Linked DNA regions of Arabidopsis thaliana. Each later gene encodes a partner of the first gene's protein in a complex. Each region holds a gene or a part of one and is shown in the gene's direction. Other genes may lie near its edges. The genes, in order: psaJ and PSAF.

Region 1 (2,951 bases):
GACTAGAAAATAAACTAAAGATTAGATAAAATGAAAATCCAAGAAGTTGGTTTCTAATTCTAATAATTCATGAAGCAAATTTTCATATGGTCCCAAGTTAATTGAATGAAAAATTTATAAATTTCATTTTCATTGCATATGCATAATTGTAGAATAGATTTTTTTATGATAATGTGATCCCCCCTTTTACTTTTTGTTTCATTTTAAGGAATTAATTTGCAGAAACAAGAAAAAGAACAATAGTTTTGGATTGGATTGGATCAATTAAAAAGAACAACAAATAAAAATAATAAAAAAAGACTAAATATTTGTAATGCGTGCATTGTTTTGTTGTATTCAATTCACAATTCAAAGGTTTTTTTCTTTCTTTAACTAACTACAAGGGTGATGGGTTTTTCACTCTATTTTCTATATAATCTCGAAAGAAAAAAACCTAAAACCTCGAAAGGAAACGATAATAGAAATTGCTAATTACAAGTTTTAAAAATCTAGTTATCGTTTAAAATCTAGTTAAAATAAATAAATCTTTTTTTTTACTAATCTCGTTCTCCGTGTAGGATACCTCTTTTCTTTTTAGTCTCATTCGATAGATTAAATGAAGAAAACTGCTCTACTATTTAATTTAATCTAATGAGTTTAAATTTTAGTAAATTCAATTTTAATAAAGTAGAAAGAGGCGTATTCTAGGTTCTAAGGTCAATAAAAAAAAAGAATCAAACAACTTATTTTCAAATTTTTACATATTCATTCAAAAAAAGTTATATGTTTTGACTGAAGTTAGATAATAGAGTTATTTTTTTTATGTATTATTTTTTTTTATGATTAATTTCTTAAAGAGTTTTTCAATTAATAAGTTACGTTAATTCTGACTCCTGAGATAGTGCAGATGCCAAAGACGATGAATTGAGTTCTTTTTATCTTTCTCTATTTTTTTTCATACCACCTATAATGATTGATAATTCACAAATTTTCAATTGAATTTTTTTAATTCTTGGAACTAGTTATCTTTCTCTATTTCTTAAAAAAAATTTCAATTGAAACTTAGGGAAGTACTTTAAGAAACATATGTATAAAAAAACATATTTTATTGAGTCCCTTCATGCCTACTATAACTAGTTATTTCGGTTTTCTACTAGCAGCTTTAACTATAACCTCAGTTCTGTTTATTGGTCTAAGCAAAATACGACTTATTTGAAATTAATTGAATGCAGATTTTTTTATAAAAAAGGATTTCGTTGGTATTTATTAATATGTTCGATAGTTCCTTACCGTGTTAATTACCAAATTTTGGTCATTGAGATTCATTGGCAATACAGATTAAGAGCTAGGAATAGATAGTACCTCTCTTTTCTCCCTTTCAAAAATGAAAACAAAAGAAAATTCAAATGATTGAAGTTTTTTTATTTGGAATCGTCTTAGGTCTAATTCCTATTACTTTGGCTGGATTATTCGTAACTGCTTATTTACAATACAGACGTGGTGATCAGTTGGACTTTTAATTAATTAACATCTCGTTTTTTTACTAACCTCCTTCTTGCTTTCCTATGCGGGAGGTCTAATTCAGACTGCTGCTCAGTAATTTGTGAACAGTGGAATTTTGATACAATCTATGAAATCACGCTCTGTAGGATTTGAACCTACGACATTGGGTTTTGGAGACCCACGTTCTACCGAACTGAACTAAGAGCGTTTTTCTTTTTTTTTTTTTCTAAAAAACGAAAAGGCTAGAAAGAGGGCATTCTTTAACCCGACTCGATTTTGTACGTATATACTATATCATACATAGTATATCATAAATTTCAGAATTAAATGTATGTCCGATAAAAAAAATTGATCAAAATAGATACCTCGTTACTGCTCTTCTGAGCAGTAATAGGTAGGGATGACAGGATTTGAACCCGTGACATTTTGTACCCAAAACAAACGCGCTACCAAGCTGCGCTACATCCCTTTCAATAGGTTTACAGTGTCATTGTAGAGAATTCCTGTCTTGTTTTCCACATCCTCCTTCTTTTTTATTGGTATATCAAATTCATTTCTTCTTTTTTTCTCATATCAGATAACAAAGATATAATTAAAAAATTTACTTTTTTTTTTTTTTTTATTCTCTCAATTTTACATAAATAGGCCTTTACGTTTTCAAATGGAATCGATAAGATCGTTCTAGTCGACAATATTAAAATTCTAATTTTGAAAGCGGGGGGACGGAAGTTACATATACAAATACAAGAACTTCTTAATTACATGTACATCTGTAATTATATATATTACTATATATAATGTAATACAATAAAGAAGAAAGAAGGAGGATTTCTAATGCGAGATCTAAAAACATATCTTTCCGTAGCACCGGTACTAAGTACTCTATGGTTCGGTTCGTTAGCAGGTTTATTAATAGAGATTAATCGTTTATTTCCAGATGCATTAACATTTCCCTTTTTTTCATTCTAGTTATTAACATCAGAAAGGGGTGAAAAATTTAGAGATACAATCAACAATCGGGGACTAACCCCCCCACCTTTTCTAATTAGTAGAATAAATTAGAAAAGGTGGGGGGGGGGGGGAAAGGTCATAAAAACGAGGGTTCAGGATCCAATGAAATTAGTAATAGAACGAAAAAAAGTGTTGCTAGGGAACCTATCAGATACTTAAAAAAACTACTGTACAAAGATTTTAAATATAGTTTTCACAAAATCATAAATCATTGTATTACTTATTTTTTTTATTTAATTACTAATAAATAAAATATTAATTGTAACGAAATATTTCAGAATTTTTTTTAGTTAACAGCTTCTATTTTTTTTGTTCTTGTTCTTTCTGGATCCTAAAATTAAAATAGAAGATTGAGGTGAATCATAAATCCAAAGGAGGTTTCATGGCCAAGGGTAAAGATGTTCGAGTAACAATTATTTTGGAATGTACCAGTTGTGTTCGAAATGATATTAAGAAAG
Region 2 (4,142 bases), on another chromosome or scaffold:
GGCTCTGTTCTTCATCTGGTTCTTGCCCTTAGGGGTGGTTTTGGTCTTCTCTGAGAAGTAACTCTTGAAGATATCTTTTTCTCTTTGTATGGCTTGTTGGAGTTCATGGGAAAAAAGTGATTGCAATTTGGATATGATACTTTGAATATTATGCTGTTTCACTGGGTTTGGATCATTTTACCAATAATCTGTTAAATATCGAATCATTTTGTTTTGTTTAACATCGAATCGTACTTTAACATATTTATTTGGGATTTAGCTATTTATGATGAATATCTTTCATTCAAGAAAGAGGCTAGACATGTGAAAATAGGATCGAGCTATGTGTAAGATCGGACCAGGCCGATTGAGATTGCTGGTTGCATGAGTCCATCAATAGTCCCATATTTATTTGCATTACAATGAAATAGTGGTTACAAATCGTCAAATCCAATGAGTGTCCATCACATTTAACAATTTTTACTTTAATTTTCTAAGTAACTTAACTTGTCAACTTGAGTTTGATTCTCTATACTTTCATAGCCAGAAAAGCACATGAGACATGACTAATGTGATTATAAAAACTAGAAGAAATCGTATGGATGGGCCGACCAAAAAAAAAGATGACCGTTGAGATTTAAACGTTAAGCTTTAAAGCTTTACAAGACATAAACGTTGCGGACAGAATCGGATCCTTCCAGAGCCTCCCACAAACTCATACATATAAATACATGTGAAGTAGAATCAAAGCAAGAACAAGAGTCCAAGAATAAAAATCAATCAGAAAGAAGATTGAACATAGATCTCAAGAGTCAAGATCGATGGGTTTGGTTGTGGTCATATCTCTGCCTCTAATTTTCTTCTGTCTACTTCTCGGATTTGGCTGCTACTTCCTCGGAAAATCTCGCGGCCGTCGTGAGATCCGTACAAATCCTCAGGTGTATGGAGCTCCAGCTCCGCCTCCCGGTGCTATCGCCGCCTCCTCTCCGCCGTTGTCTCCACACGCCAAGCCCGACAATTCTCACAACGTCTGATTTTCCTTCATTTTCTCTTCTTTGTCTGTCTTGCTTGTCTCTATTGGAAGATGCTTTTGTTTGACTTATTGTGAATTGTTGTAACTTGTAATCTTTTGATTGTCTTTAGTTTTCTTGGGATGAATTTCCTTCTTTATTTGTGTATTTTCCTATCTCTTTGATGTAAATAAGAAAGCTAGTAATGGTTTACACATTGATTATTCTATAAGAAACATCTAGAAAAGAAAAAAAAGGAAAAAAAACATCTAGAAATATATCAGAACTTCTTTCACAAAAGAATAATATATATCAGAACTGCGTGTTATTAATTCAACGAGTTCAAACTTCAAAGTATGATGTGGTAACACAACCAAATTCTCCTCTCGGATATAATTAGACCAAAAAAAAAAAGACGAAATATTTTTGCTATAAACAATATATATATGGGTAAATGTGAAGAAATTTGTTTCTTCTGCCAGGAAATAGACAGTTAATACATTGAAAAAATGGTAAAACTTTAAAGAAAAGCATATCTTAAGAGATGAAACCCTAATTAAGGTGTTGAGACTTCAGAGACAGATCAAGAGATCTTATCAGAAGATATCTGTGAAGCATTTCAAACAAACATTACAAAAAATGTAGCCTCCTTCCGGCGGAATGGTAGAAGGAGTTGTAATTCTGCTAATGTTTATTTTGGTCATATATAGATTTAATTCTTTGATATTGCAAACTCATGATCCCATTTTCTTATTATGTGGTTAACCAATAAAAGACTCAATTTTGCAGTCTTACTAATCAGGACTATTTGCCAAAAAAAAAACTAATCAGGACTAAAAAACTACATCTCTTTTTTTTTTTGCTACATATATATATATATATGATTATTTTCAGTGTATATATAATATGTATAGATATTAAAAATAAATAAAAGATAAGTCGTGTGTAGTCCACATATCTTGAACATCAAAATGACAAAACTATTAAAATCCGCGGCAAAATCTCTTATCCAGTGACATGTTACTTATCAACCAATCACAACACGCCACCTCATCACCCCAAGACCACTTCTCTTATCTTCCTCTCCCTCCACTAATCCCCTCAAGAATCTAAAGCTCCTCCCATAAGTCTTCTCTCCACACTTCACCCAAAACTCCAGAACCCTAGAATTCGAAATCTCCAAAGAACCCGACAAAGCGCCATGTCGCTCACTATCCCGGCGAATCTCGTTCTCAACCCGAGATCTAACAAATCTCTCACTCAATCCGTACCTAAATCCTCCGCAAGATTCGTCTGCTCCGATGACAAATCCTCCTCCTCCACACCTCAATCCATGAAAGCTTTCTCCGCCGCCGTCGCCCTCTCTTCCATCCTCCTCTCTGCTCCTATGCCAGCTGTCGCTGATATCTCAGGTTTGACTCCTTGCAAGGACTCAAAACAGTTCGCTAAAAGAGAGAAGCAACAGATCAAGAAGCTTGAATCTTCTCTTAAGCTCTACGCTCCTGAATCTGCCCCTGCTCTTGCTCTCAATGCTCAGATCGAGAAAACCAAACGCAGGTTCGTCTTCCATTTCTATTTCTTCGTTAAACCAGAGCTTTTTCTCTGTTCTGAAACAGAGCTTTCCTCTGTTCTGAAACAGAGTTTTTCTCTGTTTTAGTGAATTACTTGCTAGATCCATTGCTTTAGTATGATTTTTTTGGTGAGTTAGTGAGTTTTCGAAGTTGCTAGACATGTTAAATTTGATCATTGATATGATCTATTGAGGAGCTTGTGGAACTGTGGATTGGTTTGAAGTTGATGTGCTTATGAATGTATGTTAGGTTCGACAACTACGGGAAGTACGGATTGTTATGCGGGTCAGACGGTTTACCGCACTTGATAGTGAACGGAGACCAGCGGCATTGGGGAGAGTTCATTACTCCAGGGATTCTTTTCCTCTACATTGCTGGATGGATCGGGTGGGTTGGAAGAAGCTACTTAATAGCTATTAGTGGTGAGAAGAAACCCGCGATGAAAGAGATCATCATCGATGTTCCTTTGGCTAGTCGGATCATCTTCCGTGGTTTCATTTGGCCCGTTGCTGCCTACAGAGAGTTTCTCAATGGTGATCTCATTGCTAAGGATGTTTAAAAAGGGAACTTGTTTTCTGCTTTTGTGTTACTCTCTCTAATCTCTTTGTTTTCCATTGTACTTATTGAAAAACAATGCATTGTCGAAAACCTTATAAAATTTGGATTGCGCAAGTAGAAAGAATTATGGCTAAAATGGTGATTGACAGATTGTGATTTTGCGGTCTAGTGATTGCTATGTGAAGCTCAATTGCTTGAAGGGAATATCCTGATATAACGCACAGGAGCATAACCAAATTTACTTAGTATAATGCTATTTTACCACTCTTGCATTTGCATGAATGCAGGAGAAGCTCTTGAACTATAATAGACTAAATTACTTGTGTTTCTTCTTAAGCTCACTGTAAATTTCTTACCACAAGCACATGCTCCGGTCCGGTCTTTCTGTTTCCTTCATATGCGAGCGATTCTATCAGCGACTATCAAATGGCAAATGTTTGCAAGGAAACCAAAAAATAAAGACAAATGGGCCATAAGTTTGCATAATAAAAATTCAGGCCCATACAAGTGCTTAGTGCTAATTGCTAAGCTAGACTTAGCTAGTATCAAAGATGACCATTACACGATAATATGCTCACAGAGTCAAGCACACACCATGGGTTACATGATCATAATTGTATATAGATATAGATAAATAATATATCTCACAAATTTACATTAGGTCAATAACAAAGATCCCTCCTCGGTTGGAAATGATCAAAATAACCCTACCGGATCATGATCCAAAGGTCCTACACATACACCAAATCCCAAATACCCCGGAATTACAAAGTTACAAATACTAATAAATATATAGAGAGAGATTTATAATATATAAATATATTTAGTATTTTTATGTATCTATATCATGTTAATAATTTCACTCTGTAGTCAAAACAGAGCATTTTCATATCCTACCCCTAAATTTAATATATAATAATCCCGAAATTTCCCAAAAAAGGAAGAGGAAATTGCAGTAGCAGAAAGAGAGCATTATTGACTAGCAAGACCACATAGACTCTCCCAAACTGGCTTCATCCACAAT

What was found.
Region 2: the proteins of psaJ (region 1) and PSAF are in contact, whole or in part, in a cryo-EM structure (PDB 7WFE), measured with the Arabidopsis thaliana proteins. Residues at the interface, in NP_051079.1 of Arabidopsis thaliana: Thr6 (codon at 2,332), Ser9 (codon at 2,341), Val10 (codon at 2,344), Ala11 (codon at 2,347), Leu14 (codon at 2,356), Trp18 (codon at 2,368), Pro34 (codon at 2,416), Asp35 (codon at 2,419), Ala36 (codon at 2,422), Leu37 (codon at 2,425), Thr38 (codon at 2,428), Phe39 (codon at 2,431), Pro40 (codon at 2,434), Phe42 (codon at 2,440); in NP_174418.1 of Arabidopsis thaliana: Lys115 (codon at 2,533), Arg119 (codon at 2,545), Tyr123 (codon at 2,820), Tyr126 (codon at 2,829), Leu128 (codon at 2,835), Pro136 (codon at 2,859), Leu138 (codon at 2,865), Gly148 (codon at 2,895), Glu149 (codon at 2,898), Thr152 (codon at 2,907), Pro153 (codon at 2,910), Leu156 (codon at 2,919), Glu185 (codon at 3,006), Ile186 (codon at 3,009), Ile187 (codon at 3,012), Ile188 (codon at 3,015), Val190 (codon at 3,021), Ile197 (codon at 3,042).

Annotation. Positions count from the first base shown.
Region 1 is NC_000932.1:64,613-67,563, forward strand, and holds psaJ (photosystem I subunit IX), read left to right. Parts: upstream 1-2,316; coding exon 2,317-2,451; downstream 2,452-2,951. Other genes in the region: petL (cytochrome b6/f complex subunit VI), read left to right, coding at 1,100-1,195; petG (cytochrome b6/f complex subunit V), read left to right, coding at 1,386-1,499; rpl33 (ribosomal protein L33), read left to right, coding at 2,876-2,951. UniProt on the Arabidopsis thaliana protein: May help in the organization of the PsaE and PsaF subunits.
Region 2 is NC_003070.9:11,213,988-11,218,129, reverse strand, and holds PSAF (photosystem I subunit F), read left to right. Parts: upstream 1-1,988; 5' UTR 1,989-2,190; coding exon 2,191-2,546; intron 2,547-2,809; coding exon 2,810-3,119; 3' UTR 3,120-3,454; downstream 3,455-4,142. Other genes in the region: RUB1 (uncharacterized protein), read left to right, coding at 1-54; AT1G31335 (uncharacterized protein), read left to right, coding at 801-1,013; LBD4 (LOB domain-containing protein 4), read right to left, coding at 4,098-4,142. UniProt on the Arabidopsis thaliana protein: Participates in efficiency of electron transfer from plastocyanin to P700 (or cytochrome c553 in algae and cyanobacteria). This plastocyanin-docking protein contributes to the specific association of plastocyanin to PSI.